Linked DNA regions of Tribolium castaneum. The protein of the gene in region 2 interacts with the protein of the main gene of each other region in a biochemical or structural test. Links are inferred from orthologs where the notes say so. Each region holds a gene or a part of one and is shown on either strand. Other genes may lie near its edges.

The links.
Region 1: the proteins of Top1 (region 2) and SF2 form a complex in vitro, tested with the Homo sapiens proteins (2 studies listed by BioGRID, with this or other methods). The link is inferred for Tribolium castaneum from reciprocal best matches to the Homo sapiens genes TOP1 and SRSF1.

The regions. Positions count from the first base shown.
Region 1 is NC_087401.1:8,587,822-8,592,428, reverse strand, and holds the start of SF2 (serine/arginine-rich splicing factor 1A), read left to right. Parts: upstream 1-1,506; 5' UTR 1,507-1,595; coding exon 1,596-1,762; intron 1,763-1,808; coding exon 1,809-1,990; intron 1,991-4,607. UniProt on the Homo sapiens protein: Plays a role in preventing exon skipping, ensuring the accuracy of splicing and regulating alternative splicing.
Region 2 is NC_087398.1:8,304,659-8,309,177, forward strand, and holds the start of Top1 (DNA topoisomerase I, mitochondrial), read left to right. Parts: upstream 1-1,584; 5' UTR 1,585-1,690; coding exon 1,691-1,732; intron 1,733-2,025; coding exon 2,026-2,581; intron 2,582-2,756; exon of another isoform or gene 2,757-2,904; coding exon of another isoform or gene 2,905-2,909; intron 2,910-2,956; coding exon of another isoform or gene 2,957-3,036; intron 3,037-3,993; coding exon 3,994-4,268; intron 4,269-4,377; coding exon 4,378-4,407; intron 4,408-4,519. UniProt on the Homo sapiens protein: Releases the supercoiling and torsional tension of DNA introduced during the DNA replication and transcription by transiently cleaving and rejoining one strand of the DNA duplex.

The DNA.
Region 1 (4,607 bases), on a different chromosome or scaffold from region 2:
CCAGTATCGGAGTATTGTATAGAGCTCAATTTCACCCAGTTTTCGTGTTCGCGTTGAACGTCTCTATTATGATATGACTATATTTTAATTTCTAGAAACTTCACTTTTAAAATAAATCCTATAAACAACACTGAGCCTTATTCTGTACGAAAAACTAGGAGCCGGTTTACAGAACATTTTAATTGCAATTACATTTTAATCACGATTAACTTGACATTTGTCAATGCATTTTACATTTAAATGGCAACTTAATTCGAATTAGTTTAATTCTAAATTAGATCTTAATTTCACTTTCTGTAAACCGGCTTTAAAACTGTTTTAATTGTTTTTAATTTAAGGAGCTTTAGTTGTTGGTACAACGATAATCAACAAAATTGCTAGGTTTGCTATTTTTTGAAATGTGTCAAATTTTAACAGTCCTTTAATAAAATTACAGAATAGGTCTTAGTGTGTGCAGTTTGGTAAAAACAGTTTATTTATGCGTTTGTTATGTAATTACTACTTAGTGTTGGTACAGTTTTTTGTTTTAATAAGTACTTCCACTAAAAATTTACGATATGATTCGGTAAATGATCTCTTTACCTATTCTTAGGGTTAAATTAAACGTTAGAACTATCATAACTTCACAAAAAAATGTAAAACTTTTAGCTCTTCATCTAGTTTTGAACGCCTCCACAAAACACAAATTGAACTTGCTCAAAACGATTTCGGGTTAAATTCAAATTCAAATTTTGATCAAACTAAAGTATTGCTGTTTCAGAACAATAAAAACGCCAACGTCGCATTTTCTCTCAAAATTAGCTGTTAGAGTTTATTCCAAAAATGAGTGAATTTTGGCATTAAACATACATAGGTAAACATTTACTATTGAAAAAAAAATGACCATAGGCGTCGTTATACAATGTCTGTCAAATCCACTGTTAGTATTTAAAAAATTGTGGTAATTAAGTACTGTGAAAAATAATAAACAAATTATTAATAATAATTAATAGTGATATTTCTACCTTTCTCCGTTCTCAAAATTTATTAATGTTAAAATGAGAACTAAGTAAACTTTACAGAAAAAAAATGCACGCCCATGTATTTTTATGTCACTGTCAGTTCGCCACCAGATATGGAACAACCTCTATAAATTATTCATGCACTTCAAAAAAATAATAACTAGTGTAATTTATACTTTCAATGAGAGATCTAATCATTAATAACTATTTTACAATTTTATCAATAGTATTTAAAAAAATAATTCGATAAAATGCGACGTTGGCGTTTTTATAGTTTTGAAACAGCTAATAGAGGCAAATGAAATTAATGTACAATTAAATTTTATTTTAACAGAGAAATTATTCCGGTGACCCTCAAACCCCGTACCAATACTTCGGAGTTGAATAAAATTCTTAAAAATAAAAATTCCCTGAGTGTGTTGGCAGTTATCTCATTTCTACACTCTTCTGTAAACACACTGTATTGTACTGCAACCCTCCATTCGAATTTGGCGCCACACCCCGTCCAGATGGCTCTGCCATCACAAACGCCCTCACGTCGCCATCTTTCCTTCTTGTTTATCGCCGATTTCGTCCACTTTCCAACACGAAACGATGTCCAACAGCCGCAACGACTGCCGAATCTACGTCGGGAATCTGCCCCCGGACATCCGCACCAAAGACATCCAAGACCTGTTTTACAAATTCGGCAAAGTTACATTCGTCGACTTGAAAAACCGACGGGGACCTCCTTTCGCCTTCGTCGAGTTCGAGGACCCCAGGTAAGCCCCCATGTGGCCTCGAAACCCTCTCAGTGTGCTGATTTAGGGACGCGGACGACGCCGTACATGCACGGGACGGTTACGACTACGACGGCTACCGCCTCCGGGTGGAATTCCCGAGGGGCGGCGGCCATGGCAGCTTCAGGGGTGGCCGCGGCGGCGGCGACAGGGGACGCAGCTCCAGGGGGCCACCAGCTCGCAGGTCGCAATTTAGAGTGCTTGTGACAGGTGGGTTTGTTAATTTGATTTGTGTTTTCGTTTTTTATCGCGAAAATCATTCGAAATATAATAGGAAATAAAGGTCGGAAAAGCGATTAAAAGGAAAGTCATTTAGTTTTTATTTACAGAATTTTTCGAAATTACACACAAGGGTATTTTAGCATGTGTGGCTGCCACCTACGATTTGATTTTTTAAATTGTGAGGTTGTGTTTTCATTGCATCGTTTCTTGAATCGTCAATAATTTATTATTATTATTACATTTTTGTTTTTTTTTTGTAAACTATAAGATTAGAGCGAAAATAAAAAAAGCATGAAAATACATTTAAAATTGTCTTATCTTTTCGTAAAAACATATGGGCTGTTCGTTTTTATTGTTACAACTTTTAAACAGGTGATAGCACACTCAATTTTAGGAGAAAAGTTTCCTACAAACATGTATCGAAGAATATTTCATAAGGGGTGTTCCTTTTAGTGTAATTTAATTTCCCCAATATTTCAGAAACCATGGCATATAAAAACACAAAATTTGGTACAGATAATAATCTCTGTACGTCTAATTGAATTCGAACACCAAATGTACATATTTGTAATCAGGGACGTCCCAAATTGGGGGGTGGAGGATAAAAAATACCCCAACTATTTTGGCTTTCGTTTTTTGACAATTTTAGAAACGAAGGCACATTTCTTATGGGAATTTAAGGACCACTCAGATTGAGTAATTTTTATAATATCAATCGATGCGTCTTAAAAAGCTGAACAAATCATATCATTGCGTCAAACGTGTAACTTAATTAGGAATGCCGGAAATTGCAATCGAATTGAAGATTTGTCCCATAATAAAAGCATTGGGGCGGCTTTTCGGTGAGAGCTTGTAATCCAGATTGGGGGTCAGGTATAGGGAACAGACACTTTTATGGAAATAGGGATTTAAGCTGACAAGTTATATCTCCAACAATGAAGTGTTATACTCGAAAATAAAAGTTTTTGGAAATTGTAGATTCTGAAAGTAGACACAAAATGATGTCTAGTAATATCGGTCTGAGTTTTTTTAAATCGGTACTTTTTTAGTAATAATAGAAAATTCGCGCTGTGACGTAAGCAATGTCTCGACTAATGATTCGTCAGTCTTTTGCTGCATACAATTAACGCTACGACCTACGTTTGGGTTGGTAAACGTTAAATATAAATGTCAAAACCGTGCGTTGTTGATTGTGACTGTTGTGTGCTAATATTTTGCAGGAGTTTGTGTTTTGGTAAAATGACTGCTCCTGCAGCACATCTGAAGTCGTATGTAAAACAACAGAGGCAGAAATTAAGAAAAAACGGACCACTAGAACCAAATTGAAATCTACGTCTTTTTGGCTTAGGCCGCATTTGTAAGAAAATGTCGACGTTTTGTCCGTTCTTCCTCGGGACAGGTTCTGGTCGCGAAACCTTCTGTTCATCCCTGATTTTCATGTTATTTATGGTCTGTAACATACTGTTTATTAAGAAACGGTTAGTTGTATAGAAATAACACAAGAGACCATTTTTATGGAAAAAACTATGGAATTTACTATTTTGTTATTAAATTGTCAGAAAACTAAAACCAAAATAGTTAGGCCTGATTGCTCAGTTCAAGCTGAAGCTTTCGCTTACATGAGGTCGGTTTATATTTAAACTAAGTTTAAACCGTAGTTGTGTTGTTGAGTGGAAAGTTTAGCTAAACCGCGCTGAACTTGTCACTTACGGGGTTGGTAGTTCTGAACGCTTGCGCACTTCAAGTATGAGGTTGCTTGACGAAATTTTAACAGTTCTGATTTTGAAAAGTTAAGTTAATATTTTGGTACATTGTAGGAATAATATTGTTATAATGATATTTATGCTTCCTTCTGAAAAAGAGCAATTTATCGTTTTCTGTCTTTTCTTTCAAAACACAGCAATAAACTGATTTGCACAGTTTATTTGTTGCTTTTGTGCATTTGAAGACTTGGGCGTCCTCACTTTTTAAAACTATGCTGTAATTAAAATCACATAATATTTACTTAGTATCAATAATTCTAACAACATTATTCCCCTGACTGTCGGATTTTGCTGCAGCAATTAAAAAAGTTACTGAAATAAGAATAAGTAAATTATTATCATTATACTTTTTTTTTAGTTTTTTTTTAAATATAATAATAATATATTAACTTACATGTTGTCTATTCATTACTGTCATTGTTCAAGTTTATTTGTTTAATTCAAACTGAACCGAAATTTATTTAAAAAAACTGTTTCTGTGCATCATTTTTGAATCCGGAAATTTAATAGTTCTTCATCATTATTGTTAAAAGCAATTTTTTTCCACATTTGTGAAAGTAAGTAGTATATGGGCTATATGGCGCTTCATGAGTCTGTTTTTTCTAACATTGTTGGTCTGCGTATTTTATGATTTTTTTAATTGTCATATATTTTTCGTAATTAGCAGCCTCTCTACGGGTGTCTTTTGTTGTATTAAATCTTCGAGCAATTTGGGCCCATGTTCCATTTTTTTCACCGAACGTAATCAAGTATCTTTTTTATAATTTTGAACAAAATTGACCATATTTTTTTTGCGTTTAAAATTGCTACTTCGGTTTCTTTAATTTATCTGTTAACGATTT
Region 2 (4,519 bases):
TGACTTTTATATATTGTTTCATTTTTTAATGTATAAGAAATAATATCGGTGTAATACTAATAGTCAAATCATTTGGAGACCAAGGCAATTTTTTCAAATTTTTTTGTTACTGCACATTTTAAACCACTGCTATAGTACTGCTTTATGGATTATTCCTTTTTTTTATTATTCTTAGGTGTGCCGTTTTAAGGAATTTGCGAGTTCGAAAAAAATAATGAACCTGAACACGAAGCAAAAAAAATATTAAAAAAATAGATTCCACCTATAATTTGCTTGTACAGTGGGCCGCAAAAATATGGAATAATCTTATTAAACAGAATTTAAAATTTTTGTCTTGGTTTTCGAATAACGTCGCTATCGACACATTTTTTTTATGAAAACCTCTAATTTTCTTTGATCGTTTCAATAAATTACATGTTACATCTTATCTTACGTTTAAATACTACCAAAAAACAACACAATAAATTTGTTATTTCACCAAATGATCATGGAAATAGATTTCAAACAAAATCTTAATAACTTTTTTTGTTAAGAGTATTTTTATCAGTTCTTTCGTTTTTCTTTTAAATATATTAAGTAGACAACTAAATTTAGAAGACTTGCCGCTCACTGTATACATTGTACAAATATTTTATCTATTATATTTGAAGCTTATTCCTCTTTTCTGAAATATATTTGAAAAGAGTTCCGGTATTCTCAATATTCAAGCGTTTATCGTGGGCGATGTCAATCTCATATTTTTCAGGATTCGTTTCTATTGAAATCAATACGTTTTCAGTAAATAGTTATAAAAAATTGCTACATTTATGATTTTACTTGTCTAAAAGTAGAACTGAATAGCATTTCTAAATAATTTTAAATGCCATTTAAAGCATACAAAAAAATAGCAGCTGAAAATAAATTCTAGAAGTTCGGTTTTCAAGACGTCAGCCGAGTCTTATTTGAAAATAATGCCACAAATCAAATCTCTGTTTAATTTTTTACCAAATAGAAAAAACCCGAAGTCGATTGACATTGCAGTTTTGCTTTCAGGCGCTTTAAAACGTTTACACTTTAAGTAAATATTTTAAAAATTGTTGGTCTTAAAGTGGAACGCGGAACATTTTTCTCTTTGATGTAAGGAGTAAGCTATTTCTGGTGCTATTTCTAAAAGAGGTAACAAAAGGAAACAATTCGAATGAGTTTTCCCAGAAAGTCAGGTAAACCTGACAATAATAGAAGAAATTTTTGAAACAACAATAGGTAGCTTTTCTCAGCTCGAACTAAATTTACACGTGTTATGTGGGAGGAGGTAAAAAAAGTGTATTCGATGATCTTGTTCGAAATATTACAATGCAACAAGTGCACAATACTTTACGTAACCGTCCCATTAAACATTAATTCCAAAAAACGGTCCGCAAAAGCTGTGCATGAACCCAAAAGTGCGCTCATCCTCTGACTCATCATCGATTAAAGCCATGAACTTTCTCCCGAATCTCTGCAATAAATTTCAAGCAGCTGACTGTGACATTCGTCTACTTTTCAAGTTCAAAGTTGAACGCACGAAATTCAAATCCTGGCGCGCTACAGGTTATTGCCTCTGAGTGCGGCGCGTGCGCACTACGCAAAATCGCGTACTTTGTCATAAAAGCGTTCGCTGCGTTTCCCCAACGAGGATTCTAAGTGTTTGCCTCGTTCAATCTGTGAAGCGATGGAAGTCGAAAACGGAGCAAATGGGGAAGATTCCAGTCCTGTAAGTACAAAATCTCGCCTAGAATTTAATTCCGCGAATTTCGGCTCGTCCACATTTTCCCGCTTGTGTGAAATAAGGGCGCTTTCCTCGTGCTCTAACAGCGTTCGAGCGAAATTTTTCTAAGTCCCAAAATGGCGTCAGAGACTAAGTCCCACGTTTGTGGCATCAGGTCTAGAATTTTCTCGCGATAAACCGAGATTACGCATTTAAACGGCTTCTTTTCGCTGCTTTCGGTTCAATTGGGGCGAAATCGAGGGGGGCTCCATTTATAATTTGCACGTTTTTTGGTGCAGAGCCACAAGATGAAGGAGTATAACAGCGATACGGCCCAAGTGAACGGCATAAACGGCTACTCGGACAAGAAGAGCCACAAATCGGAGCATAAAGACAAGCACAGAGACAAGGACCGGGAGCGAGACAAGGAGAAAAGTAAAAGCAAAGAGCACAAGAGCTCGAAGGATAAAGACCGGCATAGCTCCAGTTCGAAGGACAAAGACCGAGATAAGGAACGCCACAGTTCACACAAGTCCTCAAGTCGGGACAAGGAGCGCAGCGACAAGGACAAACACCGCGACAAGGACAAGCACCGGGACGAGAAAAAGTCCTCGAAGGACAAGGAAAAGGAGCACAAAAGCTCGCACGATAAGGACCACAAGTCGAGCTCGAAAGACAAGGAGCGCAAGGATAAAGACAAGCACAGCTCCTCGAAGGATAAGGACAAGGACCGCCACAGCAGCTCCAAAGACAAGCACAGAGACAAGGACAAGCATCATTCCAGCTCCAAAGATAAAGACCGGAAGGACAAGAACAAGGAGCGGAAGAGCGAGAAAGAATCGGAGAAATCCTACGGTAATTTAACTTTTACCTCATTTGCTAAAAAATTATTTCCAGAGGGCGTAAAGCATAAAACACATCTGCAAAAATGGCCAAGGGTTTGTATCCAAATTTTCCTAACTAAAATTTTAACAAAAGTAGTGGCTATTGTCAGTTTTTGTAGGTGTTATTTTTTGCTCTAGGCCTAAACCTTGCACTCTTTAACTAAAAATGTTAAGTTTGAGCACAGTTTCATCGTATTGTTATTGTTTTATTGTGTCCATAGTTTCGAGTCAGTTTGATTTGACAAAATTTTTGTAAATACAAATTTTTAGAACGCTCGAATCATTATTTTCAACATGAGGTAAATAAAAACCTACTCGAGTTTTTAATCACTGTAATGGCTTGCAGGTATGTAGATAAGGCATGTTTGAAAAATGTAACCATCTTCGTAATTGTGGACGAAAATCAATGTTTTTTGACGCAAGCTGGTACGTAATTTTAATTGTCTTTAAGTCACTCACCGACAGGACTAATACGGTTTTTGAACGCTTATTTATGCATTATTTAAACAAAAACAATATTCGAAGCTGCTCATGCATTTTTTTGCTTTATATTATGCGAAATAACGAAGACATTGTATTGAATTTTAAAATTTTTGTAACATCCTTTAAGAAACGTGTTTTATCCAAGACATTGAAAAACCAAGCTCACGTCTCACTTTGAAATGCAAACTACGAATGTTCGAAAACAATTCTTATTTTTGCAATAACTAGATTTAGACCATATGTAGGTTGTTTGTTCATTTTGTTGAGGAATAAATACACGAAGACCCGAAACAACTTTCAGTAATTATTGAAATAATTGATTTAATTAATTTATTATGTCGTTTGTTATTCTAAAATGAGCGGTTTTAAGCACCTTGACATTTTTTATCAGTGTTTTAAAATATCAAATGATATATTTGTGATTGTCCCGCATCTCGTTGATGTTAATTAATCATATCTTGTTCATGTGTGATGGAGTCCTTAGTATATAAAAAAAAATCACTTAATCCATCATTAGATCATAATTGGCAACAGTTTATTATTTAGTCAAAATGTTTATTTAATTAACAAATTGTGAATTAAAGGTTTCTTTGCATTTGCTGTAGATATAAATATTATTCTCTGTAATTGGGTTAGCAATTACTCTTTGATATGCAACAATTTGTTAGATAGTTGTTAATTACCAGCAGATTAACTTTCGTATCTTGTTACGATTTGGAAGAAATAAATTAAAAGAATCGGTTCATTACATAATAAAAATTAAACAATTCGGAGTCCAATTTTCTAAAACTTGGCCAAAATCCAATTGGGACAAGTGACAATAATTTTAACTAACCGTAAAATCCAATTTTACACATTTTACGCGAATGGAATGTTGATTAAACAATTTTTTACTGTCAGACGATGAGAGAGAAAAGAAGAGTAAGAACCATTCAAAACATGAAAACGACGTGGGAAGAGAAGATTCCGCAAGAGAGGATTCGGTCGATGAAGATGATAACAAACTCATCATCAAAGAAGAGCCCGAGTCTCAAGATGAAGTCGACGACAAAAATGCTTCAGCTGCGAGCAGCTGTGATTACAATTTGTCTCAGTTTAAATCGGACGAGTCAAGATTTGAAGATAGCACTGCTGATGTGAAGCAGGAAGAAGACAGCGATGAAGATTTGCCTCTGGTAGGTGTTTCATTCAAGTTTATCGTCTTTACGTAAATAAAAATCATACGATTGCTAAGGACAATAATTTGTAATCTTTGTAGTCATTAATGTTCAATTGTATTTTCAGCGAAAACCATTCGCTCACAGACACAGATTGGTAGGTTTTTTGAAGTATTAATGTTTGTTTAGTGGTGTTAACAGTTTTAGTTTGATTTTTGACTAATATTTTGCATGGTGTTGGTATTTTTTTACTGATTTGATGCATTTTT